Sus scrofa: one gene and its partners. The main gene of each other region encodes a partner of the protein of the gene in region 2 in a complex. Links are inferred from orthologs where the notes say so. Each region holds a gene or a part of one and is shown on either strand. Other genes may lie near its edges.

What was found.
Region 1: KIAA1429 (region 2) and METTL3 share a complex: the UniProt entries of both Homo sapiens proteins name them as parts of the WMM complex. The link is inferred for Sus scrofa from reciprocal best matches to the Homo sapiens genes VIRMA and METTL3.
Region 3: KIAA1429 (region 2) and RBM15B share a complex: the UniProt entries of both Homo sapiens proteins name them as parts of the WMM complex. The link is inferred for Sus scrofa from reciprocal best matches to the Homo sapiens genes VIRMA and RBM15B.

Annotation. Positions count from the first base shown.
Region 1 is NC_010449.5:77,660,246-77,664,429, reverse strand, and holds the start of METTL3 (N6-adenosine-methyltransferase 70 kDa subunit), read right to left. Parts: upstream 2,486-4,184; 5' UTR 2,258-2,485; coding exon 2,158-2,257; intron 1-2,157. UniProt on the Homo sapiens protein: The METTL3-METTL14 heterodimer forms a N6-methyltransferase complex that methylates adenosine residues at the N(6) position of some RNAs and regulates various processes such as the circadian clock, differentiation of embryonic and hematopoietic stem cells, cortical neurogenesis, response to DNA damage, differentiation of T-cells and primary miRNA processing.
Region 2 is NC_010446.5:42,200,243-42,204,326, reverse strand, and holds part of KIAA1429 (protein virilizer homolog), read right to left. Parts: intron 3,563-4,084; coding exon 3,480-3,562; intron 430-3,479; coding exon 336-429; intron 193-335; coding exon 1-192. UniProt on the Homo sapiens protein: Associated component of the WMM complex, a complex that mediates N6-methyladenosine (m6A) methylation of RNAs, a modification that plays a role in the efficiency of mRNA splicing and RNA processing.
Region 3 is NC_010455.5:33,662,831-33,667,014, reverse strand, and holds the start of RBM15B (putative RNA-binding protein 15B), read right to left. Parts: upstream 2,629-4,184; 5' UTR 2,544-2,628; coding exon 1-2,543. UniProt on the Homo sapiens protein: RNA-binding protein that acts as a key regulator of N6-methyladenosine (m6A) methylation of RNAs, thereby regulating different processes, such as alternative splicing of mRNAs and X chromosome inactivation mediated by Xist RNA.

The DNA of each region.
Region 1 (4,184 bases), on a different chromosome or scaffold from region 2:
AGAATCCTAACCCTTAAAGAAATATATTCCTTGGACTAAACAAGATAATTGAAGAGAACAGTGACAGGCTGGTTTAATCTGGGTTTCATCTCTACCTACTCTCTCAGAATCAAATAGACCAGTGAAAGCTCTGGGCCAGAAGACAATGCATGTTTAATCACAATTTCAAAAATAATTTTATAAGAGTCTTGGAGTACCCACCATGGTGCAGCTAGTTAAGGATCTGGTGGTGTCTCTGCAGTGGCTCAGGTTGTTGCTGGAGCAGGTGCCCTCCCTGGCCCAACATAGTGGGTTAAGGACCCGGTGTTGCCACCAACTGTGTTGCAGGTCACAGTTGCAGCTCAAGATTCTATCTCTGGCCCAGAAGGGTATGGCCAAATAATAATAATAATAATAATAATAATAATAATAATAATTTTATAGGAGTCTTAACTATATTATTAAGTGGATTTACAGGTCAAGAGCTATTTATATCAAAAAAAGAATATTTACATTCAAGGGAGAATAAATCTTGTCATCAAAATTATTAAAAATGCTTAGCAAGGACCTTGATGAAGTATCCAGGCTCTAGTGGTTTAATCTGCATGTGGCACAATGTTTGGTTAATTCCAAAGTGTGGCTAATACCATGGAAAAGTGAAGTGGAACTTCTACTAATTAATCCTTATCATATAACTTGCACTTCTTCCTCTACTTACCCTGCCCTTTTATTTTCTCTTTAATTATCTAAGTCCTATATAGCCATCAAGACCAAAGTCCAAGTGCCAATTCCTCCACGATGCCCTCACTGACTAAACCTGACTCCTGTTACTTATTCCTTCACTCATTGAGGAATCATTCATTTGGCATTTTACATATATCATACTGCATTTCTGACTTTTTCTTTTAAAAGTACCAATCCGGAGTTCCCGTCGTGGCACAGTGGTTAACGAATCCGACTAGGAACCATGAGGTTGCAGGTTCGATCCCTGGCCTTGCTCAGTGGGTTAAGGATCCGGTGTTGCCGTGAGCTGTGGTGTAGGTTGCAGATGCGGCTCAGATCCTGCGTTGCTGTGGCTCTGGTGTAGGCTGGTGGCTACAGCTCTGATTGGATCCCTAGCCTGGGAACCTCCATATGCCGAGGGAAGCAGCCCTAGAAAAGGCAAAGACCAAAAAATAAATAAATAAAAGTACCAATCCTTTATTCCCAACTAAATTTTAAATTCCTTGAGGGCAGGGACACTGTTTTACTTATTTTTGTCTTACTAGACTCATGTACATTGTAGATACTCAATAGATGTTTATTTATTATGGCGTAAGAGTCTTGCCAGGGCATTTTCCATTTCCAAAGATCAGAATGAATGTGTGGACCTCACGTATTTCAACACAAGATTTAGAGATGGACTCAAGTACACTGACAGAGAAACAAGCTACAAGAATGGTATGGATTCATTATCCTTGTAGATCTTCCATTGATTTGCTTTAGCTAATTCAAGGCTTGTGCTGGGGATGTGGAATGCAAAAGACAAGACAATCATTTGAGGTTCCTTCAAGTTTTATGACTGTGACACAGAGGGCAACGGAAGGGGTGAAAAAGTTTAAAAACAAATGTTTCCAGATTGTTTGATATGTAAATGGCTAAGACAATGCCAGTTTCTCTACTCACTTAGCAACACCCTGTGCCAGCTCTGTGAGGGCCAATGAGATGGTCCCTGTGTATACAGATTCGTACTTGCTCTTACACTGCCCACAGTCTCAGAGAAACAACCACTACAAAGCAATTGCTATAACCGAGGGACGAACAAAGAGCCATGGGAATAATCCAAAGAGGGGACTTGCTGCTCGAGGGAAGGGGCCTGAAAGGCCTAGCAAAGGAGACTTTCAAGAGGAGTCAACCAGACGTGGAGAGGCAGGGTTGGGGACGAATGGGAGCTTCCGTCCCGGGAAAGTGGTGAACCGGAGGGACCAGGGGCCAGGGTGGGAAGGAACGCGACTACTTGCCAGAGGGCAAGGCGTCTGTACGGCTGAAGGGGAAGAGAAGAGTACCAACTTATGAAGCATTAAAGAAATGGCCATTTGGGCAAAGGCTCTGACTCAGGAGCTTTTTCTCCACGGTTCCCTCCTGGGTTCCCTCCCTCCCTCCCGGGGTAAGCATCAGCCCAACAGCCCAGCGCCTCACCCAAGTGCCCTGAGTCCTGCTTCCGCCTCCGCCGCAGCCTTTCCCTCAGCGAGTCCAGCTGCTTTTTGTGGGCCTGGATAGAGCTCCACGTGTCCGACATTTTAGTCCCACAGCCGGGACACGTCTCGAACAAGGGGTAGCCGACTAGCACCTCCCAGCACTGGCTCCACGAAATTTCCAACTCTCACGCGTACTCCCCAAGGCTAACCGGAAGGAGGTCCTGAGAGATGCGCCAGATAGAAAGTCATTTCCCGTTTCGCTCTCGCTTTGGAACTGAAATGAGGAGCCACCTTAAATGTTAGCGGAGTGGCGGATATGTTTTTCAGTGACGGTCTTTCGCGCTACCGGAAGCGGTGAAGCTGGGGTTGCCATATTGGTGCCTGGCAGAGCGGCCATCTTGCTTATAGCCGCGCATGCGGCCATGTTGATTATTAGGAAATGCGTCCTGATAGTTGACTCTTGTTAAAGCACCCAAGGTAGGGGTGCTGGTGCGAGTGTAGCCTCGCCTCGGACATGCGGAAGTTCCCGGACAGGGATCAAACCCGAACCACAGCAGACAACACTAATTCCTTAACCATTAGGCCACCAGGTGAATTCACAGATTTTTTTTTTTTTTTTTTGCTTTTTTAGGGCCTCACCTGAAGCATGCGGAAGTTCTCAGGCAAGAGGTCAAATCAGAGCTGCAGCAATGCAGGAACTCGAGCTGTGTTGTGACTTACACCAACAGCTCACAGCAACATGGGATACTTAACCCCAACACTGAGGGAGGCCAAGGGATGGTACACCAGTCCTCATGGATTCTAGTCAGGCTCTTTAATGCTGAGCCATAAGGGGAACACCCAGATATTTTTAAATGAAGGATCACTGATTTCTTTTGACAGTTTGATACTAACATGCCTTTTCCACTGAAGGTGTAGGTTCATGTTTCCATGCATTTGTTTACAAAAATATAGCTGTTATGTATGCTTCTTTGACAGAGGAGGACTGATGAACAGAGATAATATACGGAGTCTACAAATACATATTCTTACTTATATCAAATCTACAAGTGTCATGTCTGATACATTAAAACAGAGTCCTCAGGAGTTCACTTCTGGTACAGCAGGTTAAGGATCCTGCATTGTCACTGCAGCCACTCTGGTTGCTGTTGTGACTCAGGTTTGATCCCTGGCCAGGGGACTTCCACATGCCAAAAGAACAAACAAAAACAAACAAAATAGAATCCTCAGAAGCGGCACTAAGGGGCTTCTTGAGGTTCTGGTTGTGCTGTGTTTCTTATTCTGGGATTGCATAAATACATTCTTTGTGAAAATTAACTGAGCCAAAGTGTACTTCTGTGTGTGGTAAACTTACAAACTTTGTTCCCATTGCATCCTCTGAACAGAAGCATTTGGGAACTACTGATTTTTTTTTTTAATTTTTATTTATTTATTTATTTGTCTTTTTGCTATTTCTTTGGGCCGCTCCCGCGGCATATGGAGGTTCCCAAGCTAGGGGTCGAATTGGAGCTGCAACCCCCGGCCTACGCTAGAGCCACAGCAACGCGGGATCTGAGCCGCGTCTGCAATCTACACCACAGCTCACGGCAACGCTAGATCGTTAACACACTGAACAAGGGCAGGGATCGAACCCGCAACCTCATGGTTCCTAGTCAGATTCCTTAACCACTGCGCCACGACGGGAACTCCGGGAACTACTGATTTATCAGTTCTAACCAGATGCAAAACACTGTCAGAACAACTTAAAAAGGCCTGCCCCTTGTTTTCAGAGTTTCTGGTCATGTAAAAGAGCTAGGACCCATTTATTAATATTGAACCAACTTTACAGCATAAGGCAGCATAAACATAGGCTTAAAAAACAAATGTGATTGCAAAGAAGGGAAGATTCTAAACCTAGGTGATTCAGGAAAGACATTGGAAATTATGTGGTATAAAGCTTCACAATTGAAGTGACAGCAGGGACTTCAGTAGATGAAGCTATAGGAAAGAATTTCAAGAGTTCTTCGGAGTTCCCATCGTGGCTCAGTG
Region 2 (4,084 bases):
GAAGAGTGAGTGTGCAGCGAGCCATTGAAATAGTAGTAACTCTGTGAAGGGTAGTCCCCATGTTGACATGGAGCCTCCAAGGCTGAGTCAGAATACTGTTCAATTTTTGCAGCACCCGAATAAAGGTGTCCATTCCTTCAGCAGAAAAAAGCTGAATAACAGCAAGATTCCATTTCAGGTCTTTCTGTTGACCTTTATATAAATAAGGGAGAAAAAAAATTTAATTACTTACATGTTAATAATCACTGGTTAAGATTTTTGAATGTTTTATTTAATAAATGATATTAATACTATGTTTAAAAATTAGCAGTTTTAAAGTATAGTAGCCACATTACCTTCAACAGGGGGTGGTGGGCATGCCACATTACAGAGAACACGTAAGGCAGTGGTAAGGCCAACTCCTTCTGGGGTCATCAAGTTATCAATATTCTTTAAAAATAAAAATGAACAGGAAATTTAACTTCTTGGTACCTAACAGACCCAGAGAAGGCAATTATTTAAAAATATGAATTTTAGGAGTTCTCATTGTGGCTCAGTGGGTTAAGAACCCAACTGGTATCCATGAGGATGTGGGTTTGATCCCTGGCCTTGCTCAGTGGCTTAAAAGATCTGTGGTGTTGATGTGAGCTGCAGTGTAGGTTGGAGAGGCAGCTCGGATCTGGCGTTGCTGTGACTGTGGCTGTGGCCAGTAGCTGCAGCTCGGATTCAACCCTTAGCCCAGGAACTTCCTATGTGGCACAGGTGTGGCCATTAAAAAAAAAAAAAAGAATTTCAAGTATTCACATCATGTTAAACTTCTTAAATAAATTTAAAACATGAAGAAGGCTAATAAGCTTTATAAAGGTTATCTGATCTTTGGCATATATGTACCATATATGATATTATGTATATAAAATGAATAACTACAAAGGTGAGTTTATTAAAAAGTATTGACTAAAACAAAGTTGCATACAGGTATCTATGAAACTTTGTGTGTTAAGAATTTAAAATAGCTTCTTTTTAGATACCCTTTCTACACATCCTCTTTCCCAAAAATGAAGCAATGACTTGATTTTACAAAGCCTTGTGAGTACTAAATTTCTTTCAAAACTGAGGAAGCATCAGGGAATGTTTTAACTCTATATAACGTAATTTCGAAAAATGCAGATACCAAAGGAATCTAGTTATGATGGCCATTTTGGGCATGGCTAAAGGAAAAAGAAGTATAGTTGCCTATATCCTCAGAACCTGCCCATGCTATGTCTCCAAGTAACAAATACTTATGCTTAAGTTCCTTTATTTTTGTGGTTTCCATGGAGTAGCATATAGATGGTTACAAAAATTTAGAAATAGCATTTTAAAATGTTACTGTTTCAACATGATGGAAGATAGTACGAGAAAAAAATATATATATGACTGATACACACTTTGTTGTACAGCTGAAAGTGGCACAACATTGTAAATAACTATAATTAAAAAAAATAATAAAAAAGAAATGAAGGGGAAAAAAGTTACTATTTCAGGGAGGCCCCTGGTGGCCTAGCTGGTTAAGGATCCAGCATTGTCACTGCTGTGGCAAGGGTTCTATCCCTGGCCTAGGAACTTCTACATGCCAAGGGTGTGGCAAAAGGACAAAAACAAAAGTTCCTATTTCAGCTTCTCAAACTCAAAGGAGAAATCTAAAAATAAGAAAATTATTTCCTTCATACGCTTCCCACCTTTGGTTATCTCTTCTTCTAATTTCTTCTTGCTGCCTTTCAATAATTCCACAAATTATGTAAGGCAGCATGGAGCCACAGAGAGAATTTCAGTCTTAGATCAACTTGTTTTTAGTACATCTTAGAATGTAAGTCACTTGTAATAACCATAATTAATTAGACAAGGATTTATATAAAAATTGAGGAGTTCCCATCGTGGCGCAGTGGTTAATGAATCCGACTAGGAACCATGAGGTTGCGGGTTCGGTCCCTGCCCTTGCTCAGTGGGTTAACGATCCGGCGTTGCCATGAGCTGTGGTGTAGGTTGCAGACACGGCTCGGATCCCGAGTTGCTGTGGCTCTGGCATAGGCTGGCAGCTACAGCTCCGATTAGACCCCTAGCCTGGGAACCTCCATATGCCGCGGGAGCAGCCCAAGAAATAGCAAAAAGACAAAACCAAAAAAAAAAAAAAAAACAAAAAAAAAATTGAAACTCTTAATTACAGCATGTAATTCAAATTTCTAGAACTGAATTTTTTAATTGGTTAGAACTTTTATCTAAGCCATCTAATATTTATTGTATATTTTATATATTCTCACCATGCACAAATACCCTAAATACCTGTTCATCTAAACGTACTTCTGCTAAATAAAAGACTGAATATAAGGAAAAGCTCTAGATATCATTTGAGGCATAAAGAACAGAAGAATATGATGGCACTATAGGAGGCAAAAGTACTCTTAGGTGAGATGGAGGAAAAAGAGATGGGCAGACAAGTTAAGAAAAGAGAAATCTGAAGCAGATAAATCCAAACAGCCCTTTTGTTGGTGGGTAAAAATAGCAACAGATTAGATAATACACATTCCTCCAATCACATACACTATAGCTCCAAGACCAAAATGGTTTAAACACACACACAGACGCACACATATATACAATACATAAAGCTCATCTGTTAAAGGAAAAAGCAGATAATTCAAGGTCCATTCTGCCCCTCATTTAAAACTTTTTATGTATCTATAAGCACCTTTAGAGGCCCTTCTTCCTATGATACACATTGGATCAAATAAGGAGCAAAGAAAACATTAAACTTCTAAAGCTAATGATTCAATGACTTCAATGAACTTTTTCATTATGAATTATAAGTGAATTTCTGAACTGCAATATTATAAACTTTATGATTTTCAACTTCTATAAATTATCTCAATCGCAGATTTGACCATCCCAAATTAACAAACAGAAACAGCCCCCACTGCAATTATCAGGAATTGACTATCAAACTTGATCTAAAAATTTCAAGGGAAATTATTTTTCACCAAGATTAAAACAATTATGTTACATTGTCATAACATTTAGCTTTAAAACACTTCCACAAATGTATCAAAACAGTAGATAATATTATTTCTATTTGAGAGGGAAAAAAATAGGAATCTGGTAGTAGAAAGCAGTACGATTATGTGCATCTGTGCTCATGTATATATACAATTACACACCCATCTATATCCAGTACCAATCTGTACCCACCAGACTATTAAATCAACCAAATGCACTTAAATGCATTACCTATTTTTTTTTTTTTTTTTTTTGGCTGCACCATCGGCATTGGAAATTCTGGGACCAAGGATCAAACCCACGCCACAGCCACAACTCAAGCCACAGCAGTGACAACCCCGGATCCTTAACCTGCTAAGCCACCAAGGGAACTCCTTAACTGCATTTTCTATACAGGTGACTTAATACAATATTACTATGTACTACCACACAGTTCTACAAAAATCAAGGCACTTTTAAGTTTTACTTACCTGTTTAACATATTCAATTAGGTTTGGGATGCAGTTAATTTCAAATCTAAGGTTTTTCAGAGGTTCAAGCCACTTGCCAAGTTCTTAAAAACAAAAAGAATAAGTTCACAATATAATATTTTAAAATAAAAGCCTTTATAACAAAGGAAGCAAAGGCATTTTCCAGAGAAAAACATTATCAGATCAATATTCATTTCAATAATCTAAATTTTAGACATGGATGAACTTATGCCTCATTCTTTTTTTTTTTTTTTTTTAATTTTATTGGCCACACCCACAGCACATGGATGTTCCCAGGCCAGGGACTGAATCCAAACCACACCTGCAACCTTTGCTGCAGTTGCGGCAACAATGGATCCTTTAACCCAATACACCAGGCTGGGAATTGAACCTGCACCTCAGCAGTGACGTGAGCTGCTTCATTCAGATTCTTAACCCACTCTGTCACTGCAGAACTTCACGTTTCATTCTTCAAACAGGTTTAAAAATGAAATATAAAACATCCTACTATACTGGTTTAGAAATAAGAGGTGACCACTCTTGGTTATTTGGTTTCTGAAAACATGATTAAAGAAGACGATCTAGGAGTTCCCGTCGTGGCGCAG
Region 3 (4,184 bases), on a different chromosome or scaffold from region 2:
TTGGACCCACCTACTGGCAGGCTGATCACCCCTGCAGCCTGCTTCTGTTTCAAGTAGGAGACCAGGTTCCTGAGAAGCCGCCTCTGTAGGCCTGGCTCCACTGTGGGCATCCCCTCAGTGCCAGGCCCACTGGGGGTCGCCTGGGTGGCTAGGAGCACTGCGTAGCCATTGGGGCTCCCCTGCTTGATGCGTCGTGTGACCTCATCGAGCTTGGGCTGGTCCAGTCGAAGGCGCTGGGCAATCTTCAGCTGGGTCAGCTTACTCCCAGAAGTGTGGTCTTTGAGGAGACCGCTGATAACCCCCTGGTCCCCCTCTAGGATGTGCATAGATGTCGGGAAGCAGCTGTTTTTCAACACTAGAAGCCCATTCCAACCCAGCTGCAGTGTCTGGGCATACTCTGAAAGATTCTTGAGCTTTTTGGTCTCATGTTTTGGCTCTTCCAGAGGCTTGGTTTCAGCCTCAGTGGTCCGATGATTGCGCTCGCTCTCTCGTGTCTTCTTCCCGTGGGAAGAGTCTGGAGCCTCATGGTGGTGGTGGTGGCTCCGCTCCTCAGCCCCATGTCTGCTGTTGCTGAGGGAGTTGCCGCTCAATTCCTTGGTCCCTTCACTGGAGTGATTTTCCTTGCGGCTGCGCTCAGGGGTACGGTCAGAGCCTCGGTCAGCCTGCTGCCCACCACCCTTGGTCCTGCTCCGTTCCTCATAAGGGGAGTGGGTGGTCCTCCCTCGATCACTGGAAAGGCTTCTCCGTTTCCGCCTCTCCTCCCAGGGCTTGGGCAGGCCCCGGTCACCATCTCCTCCCCAGCGTTCGCCACTCCGGCTGCGCACTGAGCGGCTGTACCCTTCCAGGCTGTTCCGGCGGTCAGAACTTTTACTGGGGCTGGTCCAGTCCCCTTCCAAGAAGGTCCGGTCTCGGTCCGAGTACAGGAGGTGTGGGGGGGTCCTATCCCGCACCCGCAGGTCGGCATCCAGGTTTCGATGACGGGTATATCCATCAGGGAGAAGTTCGTAATGCACAGGGAGGGGTGAGGGCTGGTACTGCTGGGGATACCGAGTCTCCTCTGCTTTGGCAAAATCCACCCGCAGCCTGCGGTCTGGACCACCCAAGGGAAAGCCCCTCATTTTAGCACAGGCGGCCTGCGCTGCGTCCAAGCTCTCGTACTGGATGTAAGCAAAGCTATCTCCTTTGACGTGATCAATGGTCCGTATGCTCCCAAAGCGGTCAAACTCCCGGGCCAGAGCCGCCAGTGAGGTGTTGGGTCCCAGGCCACCCACCCAGAGGCGAGTAGTGGGGTTCGCCTTGCCGTAGCCTATCTTAATGGGGTTGCGGCCGATCACCCGACCTGACATGGCCACCTTAGCTCTATGGGCCATATCCAGGTTCTGGAACTTGAGAAAGGCATACGCACCGCCCTGACCACGGGCGGGTCTCTTGATGACCACCTCCTCAATGATGCCATACTTTTCGAAAGCCCGTCTCAGCTCCACCTCTGACACGCTGTGGTCCAGGTTACCGATGAAGAGGTTTCGCGTGGCCCGCTGGTCGTCCTCAGGCATCAGGTCCTCCTCGCACACGGCCGGGTAGCCGTAGGGGCGTCCGCGGTCGTCATACAACCCGTAGTAGTCCAGGGCCCGCTCCCGGGATAGTCCTACGGCGGCGGCGGCGGCAGCATCCAGGGCAAAGGCTGCGGCGGCGTGGCGGGCGCGGGGCTCTCGCAGTGGCGGGGCAGCAACCGGTGACAGCGAACGCTGCTTGTACTGGTAGCCGCCGTGCAGCGGGAGGTAGCCGAGTGGATCGGCCGGCGCGGGCGGCCCCGGGGGCGGTGTGGAGGCGGCGGCGCTACTGCTGCTGCTTCTTCGGCTGCTCCCGCCGCCGCCGCCGCCGCCGCGCAGGTACACGGGTTCCACCTTGAGCGGACGGTCGTAGAGCAGCAGCTGGCGGGCCAGGGCGTGCTGTCGGGCCTCGCGTGCGTCCTGTGGGTGCCGGAAGTTCACGTAGGCCACGCGGCCCAGCTCAGGCGTGTGCGACAAGCGCAGGCTGATCTCGCCGAAGCGCTTGAACTGGTGGAAGAGCCGGTCCTCGAGATGCTCGGCGGGCAGCGCGGGACTCAAGCTGCTGATGAGCAGCGTCTTATACTCGGGTGCGGCCGCGGAAGAGCCGGGACCCGCGGGCTCGGACCCGGGCGGCGGGGGAGGTGGCGGCAGCGGAGACGCGCGGGGCGAAGCGCCTGAAGCGCCCGGATCCCCCGAGGCCTTGCCGCCGCGTCCCCCGCCGCCGGCGCCCGAACCCGAGGCGCGGCCGCTGCTCGCACGATGATTCGCGTCCCCGGCGCCGCGGCCGTCGCGATGCCCACCCCCGCCGCCCCCGCTACCGCGGGGTTTCTCGCGGGCCCGCGTTGGAACGGGGTGCTTGGTGCCGCCCGAGGCCTTGTGCGCCGCCCGCCGCCCGCCCGCCTCTGCCTCCCGTTCGCGCTCCCGCGGTCGCTTGGCCGATGATGACGAGCCGCGCCCGCCTGGGCTCGAGTCTCGCTCGCTCTGCCTCTTCATGGCGCCGGCGCGGCGGGCGGGCGGGCGGCCCGCGGGCCTCTCACAGCGGCGGCGGCGGCGGCGGCGGCCGAGGAGGCAGCGCCCCCGGCGCCGCCATCTTGGACAAAAGGACTCGGCGCGGCGGTGGCGGCGGGGCGGGGCGGGAGCGGCGCCCAGGGGCCGGGTGTCGCGTTATCTGGCTGCGCCGCCCGCACCACGTGACTCTGAGGCGGGCGGGGCAAGAGCTGCGCCGGGTGTGCGTCATTGGGATGCGCCGCCCCGTGCCACGTGATCCCCGTTGCAAGCCAGCGAGCTTGTCTAGGCAGTGAGCTCTGGCGCCACCGCGTGGCCGGAGTTCTATGGAAATCATAGTCGTGTCGAGAGCACTGCTGCACCTAGGCCTCTGGCTCCGGGCTGGGCGGCCAGGGTAGCCGGATGGAAGCGGGAGTAGCGGCCTCTTTACGTGATATTCCCAATTCCAAGACTAGGTTTGCGTGACTCCCATACCTCGCCCGAGTCTCCTGACCGTCGTCCGGGATGGACAACCCTGAGGACCAAAGCATGCCGCCCCCTAGGACCCACGCCCCATATCTTGAGCATCCCCTGCGTTCAGGCACACCTACAGCAGGCCTCTGAAAGGCCATATGAGGAGCATGGCCACGCATGCAGAAGCCCTAGGCACGGAAAGCTGAGACATGCCGGCGGTTTCCCGAGTGGCACCAGGCTCCTTGGTGCCATGGGGCCCCACCCTCTGCCCTGAGCGTTCGAGCAGAAAGAGAGCTGTAAGGGCAGGGCCACGGAAACAATGGCGGAGAATAAACCCAGGGCTTACCCAGCTTGCCATGCTTACCTTTCACTGGCCAGCGTCCTCCTATCCACTTCCAAGATGGCGAGATGACTGGGAATATGTTCCCGAGGAGAGGGGAGGGAGAATCCTGCTCAGCATCCAAGCCCCTTGGGGAAGCGTTCATTCTGCAGGGTTGCTGGAGGGTTCGCAGAACCTGACCCAACTTCAGCCACAGAAACTATGGAGTGAGCAAAACGCACCACGGTTCTTCCCTCCTCCCACAGAGAAAGCAACTCCCGGAGCAACTGAGGCAGGTCCAAGAGTTAATGTTTCCGAAGAAACACCTGTAACATTTCTGAAATCTGCTTCCAGGAGTTAACCCCTTCCTAGACAGAGACACTTGTAGCTCAGCCCGAGGGTAGCAGTTAATTGGCCTGTTTTCCGTTTGGTGTGGTCTGGAGGATATGGAACACAGACCTAGGGTGCTGAGACAGCTCCACCTCGTAGGAGTTCTGGCTCCAGCCATGGACCTTCCTTGGCACCTTTCAGGGCCTCAGGATGCTCTATGCTTGTTAGATTTAACAGCTCATCTACTTCGTCTAAATCTGGAAGACCTGGCCTGAGAAATGGCTCAAACTTTTTGCTTTCCTCAGACATGTTGCTGCAAGGGCGGAAAATGCAGTCCTGCTGTTGACAAGCATCAGTGGATGCCACAGCAGGCTGAGAGGCACTTCATGTAGGCAAACTGAATTTAGAAATTGCACAATTGTGACCCCAGGCCAGGGCAATTCCTTGGAAAGCACTGCTTCTTAGGCCTTTCCTCCAGGTGGTCCTGAGGTGCGAGAACAGGGGTCTCAGAGGTGAGTCAAGGCTCA